3 linked regions of the Kluyveromyces lactis genome follow. The protein of the gene in region 3 interacts with the protein of the main gene of each other region in a biochemical or structural test. Links are inferred from orthologs where the notes say so. Each region holds a gene or a part of one and is shown on either strand. Other genes may lie near its edges.

Region 1 (4,256 bases), on a different chromosome or scaffold from region 3:
CTTCGTGTTCAAATGCAATCTTCTCTCTTTCGACTCTGGAGAAATGTTTTCTTTGTCCAGGCAATACTTCATCAACGCCAGCTGAAATCATTTGTTTCTTTGTTGAAGGTTCTTGTGATGATTCTTTGGAATTTTCAGTGGAATCAGATTCAGTTTCAAGAGGACGTTTGCTGTTGGTTTCGGTTTCTACTGCAGTTTCGCTATCGCTGCTATCGGAGTCGCTAGATGAGGAGGACGAATCTGAGGACGAATCTGAGTCTGAGTCTGAGTCTGAGTCTGAGTCTGAGTCTGAGTCTGAACTAGAGTCCGAACTAGAGTCCGAGCTGGAGCTAGAGCTAGAGTCTGAATCTGAATCTGAACTAGAGCTAGAGCTAGAGTTTGAATCGGAGTCTGAGTCAGAGCTTGAATCGGAGCTAGAGTCTGAATCGGAGCTAGAATCAGAACTAGATTCCGAGTCCGAGTTTGACGATTTCGACACCTTTACTTCCACTGCTACTGGCTCAGATTTTTCATCTTTTATCTTAATTTTGATGTCTTTTTCGTCCTCATCATCGGATTCTGAGCTGGCACTGGAGCTAGAGTCTGAGTCGGAATCAGAGTCTGAGCTGGAACTAGAGTCTGAGCTGGAACTAGAATCTGAGTCTGAACTGGAGTCTGAGTCTGAACTGGAACTGGAACTGGAACTGGAACTGGAACTGGAGCTACTATCAGAGTTCGATTCTGAATCTGAGCTAGAGCTTGAACTAGAGTCTGAGCCAGAATCCGAATCCGAATCTGAACCTGAACCTGAACCTGAACCTGAACCTGAACTCGAGCTGTCGCTGGAATTGGAACTAGACTCTGAACCACTTGACGATGATTTTACCTTTTTGTCATCTTTCTTCGTCAATTTTGGCACTGAAGACTTGGAACTTTGCTTCTTAACACTCATCTGTAAAAATTAGACTATTTCCTCACCCAAACCACTGGTGATCCTATCGTAATCGCTCTTGGATAAGATCTGAACCTACCTCATCGCAAGCTCATCTCGTTTGGATAACGCTATTAATCTCGAATTTTTTTTCAATACGTTTCTTTTGCCGTACTATGTGACGATGTCCTGAGGTGTGGTGTATGGGTTGTTTCAGTCTTACAACTACTAAAACTGTAAAAACAACTAGCAAAACCGGCCTTTTCGTCTATTCGGCAACCTCGTTGTTGTATTGTTAATCGTGGAACTACCTAGTGGTTGCAATGGTTATTAGTTGGTCATCCAACTCTAACTTATATTGGGTTTTTGGCTCATTCTGGTTATATTGTTTGTCCGGGTAATCATTTTTGCCTCAACATTATTAATCTGAAAGATGATTTTAAGAGAACTTTAACTTTAATTAGATGTTTAAGAATCAAAGTCCAAGGACGGACAAGGGAATTAAGGTCTATCCCCGGAGTCTATCTGTACACTAATTGTGTCATTATGGAAGATGAGGTAGTGAAGCGTTCATATCACACAAGAAGTAGAGGTGGAAAGGAGAAATTAGTGCAGGACACGGTTTTTTCAGATGACTCTTTGGTTACAGACGATGAAGAATACGGGGATATTGCCCCAGATATCGACGATGATGTCTTAGATGAAGAAGAGGAAGCTGAGTTAAAGGAATCTCTAATGCAGGCGAACGCTCCTGCTCCTCAAGTGAATCCTCTTTTGAGTCGGAAATCGAAGAAAAGTTCTTCTTCTTCTAGATCTGCTGCTGCTGCAACTGCTGGTAGTGGAATGAACCATAATCTAGCAGCAAAGGATGATATCCTTCATGCACATTTGGACGATATTCCCCCTGATTTTGAGCCTGACGTTGTTTCAGGAATGTTCAAGACTAACGATTTCAGCTACTTAAAATTGAAGCCGGATCATGCCTCGCGGCCTTTATGGATATCGCCTAACGATGGACGTGTGATCTTAGAATCATTCTCTCCATTGGCAGAACAAGCACAGGATTTTCTTGTGACGATCGCAGAACCCGTTTCTAGACCATCTCATATTCATGAGTACAGAATTACGGCTTACTCTTTGTATGCTGCGGTTTCGGTTGGTTTGGAAACTGAAGATATCATAGCAGTATTGGACAGATTGTCCAAGGTTCCTGTTGCACCTTCGATTATCAACTTCATTAAGAGTGCAACTGTATCATACGGTAAGGTGAAATTGGTCATTAAGCATAATAGATATTTCGTGGAAACTTCTCAAGCTGATATCTTGCAAATGTTGTTAAACGATCAAATCATTGGTAATCTAAGAATCGATACCGATGCTGCAGTGGATGCTGCGGTTAAGAAAACCATGGCGAATAAGATGGTAGATGCAGAGGGAGTGGATCCTAACGATGTGGAAGCTGTCTTTTCAGCTGTCGTGGGGGCCAATAAGGAACTTGAAGAAGAAGACGATGATATAGATGCGGTTCATGCTTTCGAAATTGACAATGCATCTGTCGAAATTGTGAAGAAAAGATGTCAAGAACTTGACTATCCGGTGTTGGAAGAATATGATTTCAGGAACGATCGAAGAAATCCAGATTTAGATATCGATTTGAAACCATCAACTCAAATCAGACCATATCAGGAAAAATCCTTGAGCAAAATGTTCGGTAACGGTCGTGCAAGAAGTGGTATTATTGTGTTACCATGCGGTGCTGGTAAGACTTTGGTCGGTATCACAGCGGCATGTACTATCAAAAAGTCTGTGATCGTGCTTTGTACTTCGTCAGTGTCAGTCATGCAATGGAGACAACAATTCCTTCAGTGGTGTACGCTCCAGCCTGAAAATGTTGCCGTCTTCACATCAGATAACAAAGAAATGTTCCAAACTGAATCTGGTCTGGTGGTCTCGACTTATTCCATGGTTGCTAACACTAGAAATAGATCGTACGATTCTCAAAAGGTTATGGATTTCTTAACGGGTAGAGAATGGGGTTTCATTATTTTGGATGAAGTACATGTCGTACCTGCAGCCATGTTTAGACGTGTTGTGTCCACTATTGCCGCACATGCAAAATTAGGTTTAACTGCAACTTTGGTGCGTGAAGATGACAAGATTAGTGATTTGAATTTCTTGATTGGTCCAAAACTTTACGAAGCTAATTGGATGGAACTTTCACAGAAAGGTCACATTGCTAATGTGCAGTGTGCGGAAGTTTGGTGTCCAATGACTGCAGAGTTTTACCAAGAATATCTAAGAGAGAATGCGAGAAAAAGAATGCTACTATATATTATGAATCCAACCAAGTTCCAGGCGTGTCAATTTTTGATTCAATATCATGAAAAGAGAGGTGATAAAATTATCGTCTTTTCAGATAACGTCTACGCTCTTCAAGAATATGCTTTGAAGCTAGGTAAGCCTTTCATTTACGGTTCCACGCCACAACAAGAGCGTATGAATATTTTGCAGAATTTTCAATATAATGACCAAATCAATACCATTTTCTTATCAAAGGTTGGAGATACTTCGATTGATTTGCCAGAGGCGACTTGTTTGATCCAAATTTCGTCTCATTACGGGTCTAGACGTCAAGAAGCACAAAGATTGGGTAGAATTTTAAGAGCTAAGAGACGTAACGATGAAGGGTTCAACGCCTTCTTCTATTCTCTAGTTTCTAAAGATACTCAAGAAATGTACTACTCCACAAAGAGACAGGCATTTTTAGTTGATCAAGGTTATGCTTTCAAGGTTATCACCCATCTACATGGTATGGAAAACTTGCCTAATCTAGCATATTCTTCTGCTAGAGAACGTAGAGAACTTTTGCAAGAAGTTCTTCTCAAAAACGAAGAAGCTGCAGGCATTGAAGCAGGTGAGGATAACGATAGCTACATTTGGAAGAATGGTGGGAACAAGAGACCAAGGAACAAATCTAAGGCTGTTAAGAGCGAAGGATCTTTGGCTGGTTTGGCTGGTGGTGAGGATATGGCATACCTAGAATACAGTTCCAATAAGAATAAAGACTTAAGAGATCATCATCCATTGATCCGTAAAATGTACTATAGAAGTGCAAATAAATGAACAATATTGGGTTTTATAATTTATCATCCGTATTAAACTGGCATACTTTAAACAGCAAATGAATCATCTTTCCAAAAATCGCATCACGAATCAGTTTTATAAAATCCTAATACTTAAATATACCACATATAATCACTATAAAAAGATGTTTTCGTCCGCTGTCTAAAATAAACAAAGAAATGATTGCTTTTGCACAGTGAATTTCAACAGTATTGATATTGTA
Region 2 (3,321 bases), on a different chromosome or scaffold from region 3:
ACATTGAGGACCCTATGGCTAACGACTCGACAAACAAATTTGGGAGAGGCGCTTTAAAAGAATGGCTTGAATTGGGGTACATAACAAGAAATTACTCAAGAAGTGTCACCAGAACTATGGAGTATTCGTATAACGATTTTGCCCTTTATATCGTTGCCAAAGGTCTCGGTAAAAAAGATTTAGCAAAGACATACCTTGAAAGATCGAAAAACTGGCGTAACATTTGGAACCCAAATGCTAAAAGTGTGAATATACACTATGACTACACCGGATTCGTACAACCTAGGAATTCTGACGGTACGTTTGCTCAACATAGATATGATCCGTTTACATGCTTTGGTTGCTATTGGAGAGACGATGAATATGAAGGAAAACCCGTGGAATATGGGTGGACGGTGCCTTTTGATATGAAGACTTTATTAGAATACATTGGTTCGAAAGCAATGTTTGAAAAACGTTTAGATGATATGTATGCGTTCTGTGGCCATGAGAACGTGGTTGATATTGGCAATGAACCAAGTTTTTTGACACCTTATCTTTACGCGTACATTAACAGACAAGATAAAACGTCAGCATTAGTGGATTGGATCATAAATACAAAGTTTAAGACGGGACCGCGTGGTTTGCCAGGGAATTCTGATGCAGGAGCCATGCAAGCGTGGCTAACCTTTGCCCTTCTAGGTTTTTATCCCGTGGCTGGTACTGATATTTATTTATTAACAAGTCCGAAAGTTAATTATTTGAAACTTAAAAGCATGCCTAACGTTCCAGATATTGAAATTTTTGCACATAACTTATATTCAGAATTTGGTGTCAGAAACAACTTCATTGAGAAAGTTGTTATCAATGACAAAGAACTCGATAAGAACTGGTTTAGACATTCCGAGCTATTCGAACACGGTGGTACCATCGAATACTACATGAGTGAAAAACCATTGGACTGGGATTCAGATAAAGAGTGTCCACCACAAGAATTCAGCGTTTAAGATTCAAGTATAATGGTGTAGTTCGTTAAATAAAATCAGTGATTATTAGGTTTTACATACAACCCTCGCTATTTTGTGTTGAAACTTTTTGATCATATGATCACATGATCAAAATCATGTAAGAAAATTTAGTGAATTTATAACAAGTGAAGCAAGATTTGAAGGTTAAAGAGTAACGCTACACCAATTTGGCTGAATAGACGTAGAGCTCCAGGCATTAGTCGATTTTTTAATTGGACTACATTTGGCTGTACTCTGGTCAAATTTTATTAATCGTTTTTGATTACGATAATGCCTCCTATTATAGATAGTGAATCAGACGATGAACGGATCATTGGAATCACTAACAAGAGACATAGACAAGATGGTCAGACCAAAGTGCTGAAAAACAAAGTGAAGAAGCATGTTAGAACAAAAGAAACTGCAGATTCGGATGGTGCAGGCAATGGGAATTCTAGTGATGATGAAGAGGATGAACGAGTTCATTCACAACTATCAAAGAGAAGTCGTGATCCAAGAAAAATGAAGAAGAAAAAGAAGAAGAAGCTGTCCAACAAGAACTTACAAGGTGTCAATGGTGGTTATGCCTGGGAAGATGACATTCAAAGAAGTTGGGACCTTGTCAAAGTTGATGATGAAGGCAATATCGCTGCTATTGTGGCAAGCATAGTTGAAGCAAGAAAAAAAAGGGCAGCAGAGAAGACGGTTACTCCGTATCAAAGAGGTATTATCAGAACCCTTATCTTGGTATTGGATTGTAGCGAAGCAATGATGGAAAAAGATTTGCGACCTAATAGATATGCAATGACAGTACAATATGCTGTAGACTTTATTCATGAGTATTTTGATCAAAATCCTATTTCTCAAATTGGTGTAGTTGTTATGCGTGATGGTTTAGCTCAGCTAATATCGCAGGTCAGTGGTAACCCTCAAGAACATATCGATGCTTTAAAGATGCTTCGTAGGCAAGAACCAAAGGGGAACGCTTCTTTACAAAATGCTTTAGAGATGGCTAGAGGTCTCTTACTTCATGTTCCAGCGCATTGTACTAGAGAAGTACTCATCGTTTTCGGTGCATTATCAACTACAGATCCAGGTGATATTCATCAAACGATTGGCTCATTGGTACATGAGAATATTAGAGCAAAAGTTATTGGTCTATCTGCTCAAGTCTCCGTTTGCAAAGAGTTGTGTAAGCAGACGAATTATGGAGATAACTCATATTATGGGATTATATTGAACGATCATCATTTTAAGGAACTATTCACAAGTGCAGTGACACCGTTACCGGTGAGCAAAGTGAACAAAGGGTTCACCTTGGTTAAGATGGGATTCCCTACCAGAGTATTTGAGGACACACCATCATTTTGTGCTTGCCATTCGACTCTAGTCCATGGTGGTTACGTCTGTCCCAATTGCAAAACTAAGGTTTGCTCTCTACCGACAGTATGTCCGAGTTGTGATTTGATGTTGATACTCTCAACACATTTAGCAAGATCGTATCATCATTTGATGCCTCTTAAGACTTTCCAAGAAGTCCCAGTGTCAGATAGCTTCCCTACAGACTATTGCTTCGGCTGCCAAAAGCGATTCCCCACCTTAAGAAATAACAAAACAGGCGAACTATTAACAAGCAGCAGGTACAGATGTGAAGAGTGTGATCAAGATTTTTGTATAGATTGTGATGTATTCATTCATGAAACGTTACACAACTGCCCTGGGTGTGAGTCCAAACCAATCAATGTAAATATCAAATGAATTTAACCCGCTAATCATTTTCTCGGTAGTTCCAAGAAGAAAATATCACAAGAACGACTTTTAAACATTGACTCAAATTGTATATAACATTGAATGGTTACTAAAAAAAAGGCACTCACATCCTTTACATCTATTTACAATGTACTCCCCCTGGGTTGGCTGGATACCGCTTTCCCTACAATTGTATAAATCTCATCTCCTAATCATTATCTGCTTGTTTAGTGCATCTCAGATTGTGACAAAATAAAAAGTAACGATTATTTTCAAAATTTTTCAGCTCATCGGAGAAATTGCAAAATGAAACCTCGAATAGAAAAGGCAACAAGATACCAACCGATTTTTCAACGACCTCACAAAAAAAAAATACTGTACTGAATAAACTTCCTGTTACCATCAAGTTTGTGCTATATCTCTAGGACAGGTAGGTTCTTTCAAACTTGAGATTCACAGGGAGTTCAACCGTACGTCTCTTTACATTTGCATTGGCTTCTTACTGTTGATTTTTCCAATCACTTTAGTCTGCTGTCAATCCGGTTTAACTGATTTCACTAATTAAATCGGACTCATCCTCTTCACA
Region 3 (2,768 bases):
TTACGACCTACTGACTAATACCAAATACCTAACTTTATCTGAAGTTGATAGGCTTTTTGGTTGCTATATGACTATTTACGTGATATCAAGAAACATATATGATATTACTTTCTCCATCAGGGAAATCTATGATTATGCATACCAATACTTAATGGAATATGATGAATTGCATCCAATTTTGAGAAAATACTGGAAAGAGCTATTCATATATGGCCTAATGAATGCGATTCTTGTTTCAATAGGAGCTTCTGCCATACATTTATGTTTGGCTCCTGATGGAAATTCTTCTCCGATTTACACCTGCCTCTGGCACATAGGATTTGGTTCTTCCCAGAGAGTTGGATTTGCAGTAATGCTCATAATATTTTATATTGATTTGACACAAGAGGGTTTGAATAGGTTTAAAAAGCAAGCGGATGATCTGAAGGAACAGGAAGATTTGGCACAAAGAAGGGTGAACAAGAATCAGAACGCTAACATTTTCAAAGATAAAAGTACGGTAATGAATTTTTGCAAGAGCAGAGACGTAGATGAAGACATTCTTCTGGAGTCAACCCCGCCTTTGAACCCACCATCAATTTTACATAGCCCCTTGCTCAAAAAGTCCACAAAAGTTGAACAGAACGAATCAATAAAACTGGTTTCTGTATCAAGTGTCGAACACTTTGAAGAAAGCTACGTTCCTCTTCTGAGAGAAAGATTAGATGAAGAAACCAATAAAAGCAGTAAAACAATTCCATCAAAAAATTTTCTACTTAGTACCATGGTAAAGATAATCGTATTTACATCAACCTTCCTTCAGCAACCTGTTAAGACAATGAAGAAGTTAATGCCATATAAAATATACAATTCTGTCAGAAAGGCAATAAACGCCCCAACTTAGCTAATAAAAAATCATATATACACAATATAACCACATTTTGCTCACCAACGCAGTAGGTCTCCTCAGTAAATGCTCCCTTTACTGTCTTCAGTATCATTTGCCTGCCGCATAAGTAATCCTTTTCTCATCATTTTGTGATTTTAGCTGTCTCTGTCATACAATATCATTCAATATCGGTGGTATAAAACAAGAAACCTTTATTTGAAAAGTTGATGATAAATAATGAACAAATTGTAAGGACAATGAATAAGAAATAGATATCAAACTAAATCATCTGGGACTACGAATCAACGTGAATCGTCATCATGGATGAAGATGAGAAGAAGGACATGTGTCCTATCTGTAAAACAGACAGGTATCTATCGCCTGATATGAAGTTTTTGATCAATCCAGAATGCTATCATAAAATTTGTGAATCATGCGTGGATCGTATATTCAGTTTGGGTCCTGCTCAGTGTCCATACGAAGGGTGCGATAAAATTTTGAGAAGAAATAAGTTCAAGACCCAAATCTTTGATGATGTAGGTGTCGAGAAGGAAGTTGATATAAGAAAACGTGTTTTCAATGTGTTTAACAAGACGCTGGAAGATTTCGATAACAACCAAGACGATTATGATAAATACCTAGAAGAAGTGGAAGATATTATATACAACTTAGACCATGGTATTGATATGGAGAAGACCGAGGAGAGGTTACGAACCTACGAAGAATTAAACAAACAGCTAATCATGGCAAATTTAGAGCGGAGCAAACAAGATGTCGCTAACTTCGAACAGAGACAGAAGTTTGAAAAGGAAATGAAGTTAAAGAAAAGACTACTAGAGAAACAGATAGAAGAAGAAGAGAGGGCTAATAGGGAGTGGGCAAAGAGAGAAATTGTCAACCAGCTCACAGTGAATGAAGATGCTGAGGAAGTTATTGAAAATGTGAAAAAGACTGTCAAGCTAAAGAAATCCTCTGCCAGAAGGAAGCTCGAAGAATTAAATAAAGTGTTAAGAAACAATCCTTACATGACAATGACAAATGGTAGAATGAAGAAGAAAGATACTGTACCGTTCACACCATTCAATGGGGACAGGGATTTACACAAAAGATACGAATTGGTTGAAAACGAGTATAATGATTCTTTCATCAGAGACTTACAAAAGAAGAAGGAATATATAGCCTCAGGATTCAGGGCGGACTTCATTTATGATAGAATGTTAACAGAGGCATTCATGGGTCTTGGTTGTATCATTAGCGAAGAATTACAATCCTCTTAGTTGTATCGCGTTGACGGCAAGTGTTGATAACTCTTCGTTTGATACATCTCCTACTTTATTCAATTTGTAATTCTACCGAAAAAAAAAACACATAGTACAATGGTAAAGAGCTCGGTAGCTCTTTATCCTCATCATAATCATATAGCATTTAGGTTAGTAATCTATTCATTATTAAGAGTCTTCTCATTTGTTCATAACTTATCACAAGGAATACATACCGTTTTGATAATTTCTTTATCGGCAGATGTAGAAAACTCATCATCCGAGACTGGAACTAGGTCCCCATCAACGGAAGCATTGCCATCATAGGGTTCTTCATTACTGTCTTCAATGATTTTGATCACAATTATATCAGTTGTTCCTTCCTTTATACCAAATCTGTTCAATGCATCGCCAATGTTCGAACTAGGAGATAGTGATAAAATGCATTCAGAATGGATAGTTCTTGTCCGCATTCTATTGTACTCTGTTTCCAAAATAGCCTTATAGATGGCACTCGACAATTGTTCAACGGATATCACAGTTTTGGAGTCGATGTATGCAAAAGGTAATTCAGCCAATTTGGATCGTAGCTCAGAAGAATTGGTAACATTGTTATACTTCTGAACATGAATAGTATACTC

What was found.
Region 1: the proteins of TFB3 (region 3) and SSL2 are reported together in a solved structure, tested with the Saccharomyces cerevisiae proteins (2 studies listed by BioGRID, with this or other methods). The link is inferred for Kluyveromyces lactis from reciprocal best matches to the Saccharomyces cerevisiae genes TFB3 and SSL2.
Region 2: the proteins of TFB3 (region 3) and SSL1 are reported together in a solved structure, tested with the Saccharomyces cerevisiae proteins (2 studies listed by BioGRID, with this or other methods). The link is inferred for Kluyveromyces lactis from reciprocal best matches to the Saccharomyces cerevisiae genes TFB3 and SSL1.

Annotation. Positions count from the first base shown.
Region 1 is NC_006041.1:1,154,021-1,158,276, reverse strand, and holds SSL2 (TFIIH/NER complex ATPase/helicase subunit SSL2), read left to right. Parts: upstream 1-1,456; coding exon 1,457-4,033; downstream 4,034-4,256. Other genes in the region: SRP40 (Srp40p), read right to left, coding at 1-931. UniProt on the Saccharomyces cerevisiae protein: ATP-dependent DNA translocase. Component of the general transcription and DNA repair factor IIH (TFIIH) core complex. When complexed to CDK-activating kinase (CAK), involved in RNA transcription by RNA polymerase II.
Region 2 is NC_006041.1:850,310-853,630, forward strand, and holds SSL1 (TFIIH/NER complex subunit SSL1), read left to right. Parts: upstream 1-1,277; coding exon 1,278-2,744; downstream 2,745-3,321. Other genes in the region: KLLA0_E09593g (uncharacterized protein), read left to right, coding at 1-986. UniProt on the Saccharomyces cerevisiae protein: Component of the general transcription and DNA repair factor IIH (TFIIH) core complex, which is involved in general and transcription-coupled nucleotide excision repair (NER) of damaged DNA and, when complexed to TFIIK, in RNA transcription by RNA polymerase II.
Region 3 is NC_006039.1:1,296,154-1,298,921, forward strand, and holds TFB3 (TFIIH/NER complex subunit TFB3), read left to right. Parts: upstream 1-1,188; coding exon 1,189-2,145; downstream 2,146-2,768. Other genes in the region: KLLA0_C14850g (uncharacterized protein), read left to right, coding at 1-883; CGI121 (Cgi121p), read right to left, coding at 2,337-2,768. UniProt on the Saccharomyces cerevisiae protein: Acts as a component of the general transcription and DNA repair factor IIH (TFIIH or factor B), which is essential for both basal and activated transcription, and is involved in nucleotide excision repair (NER) of damaged DNA.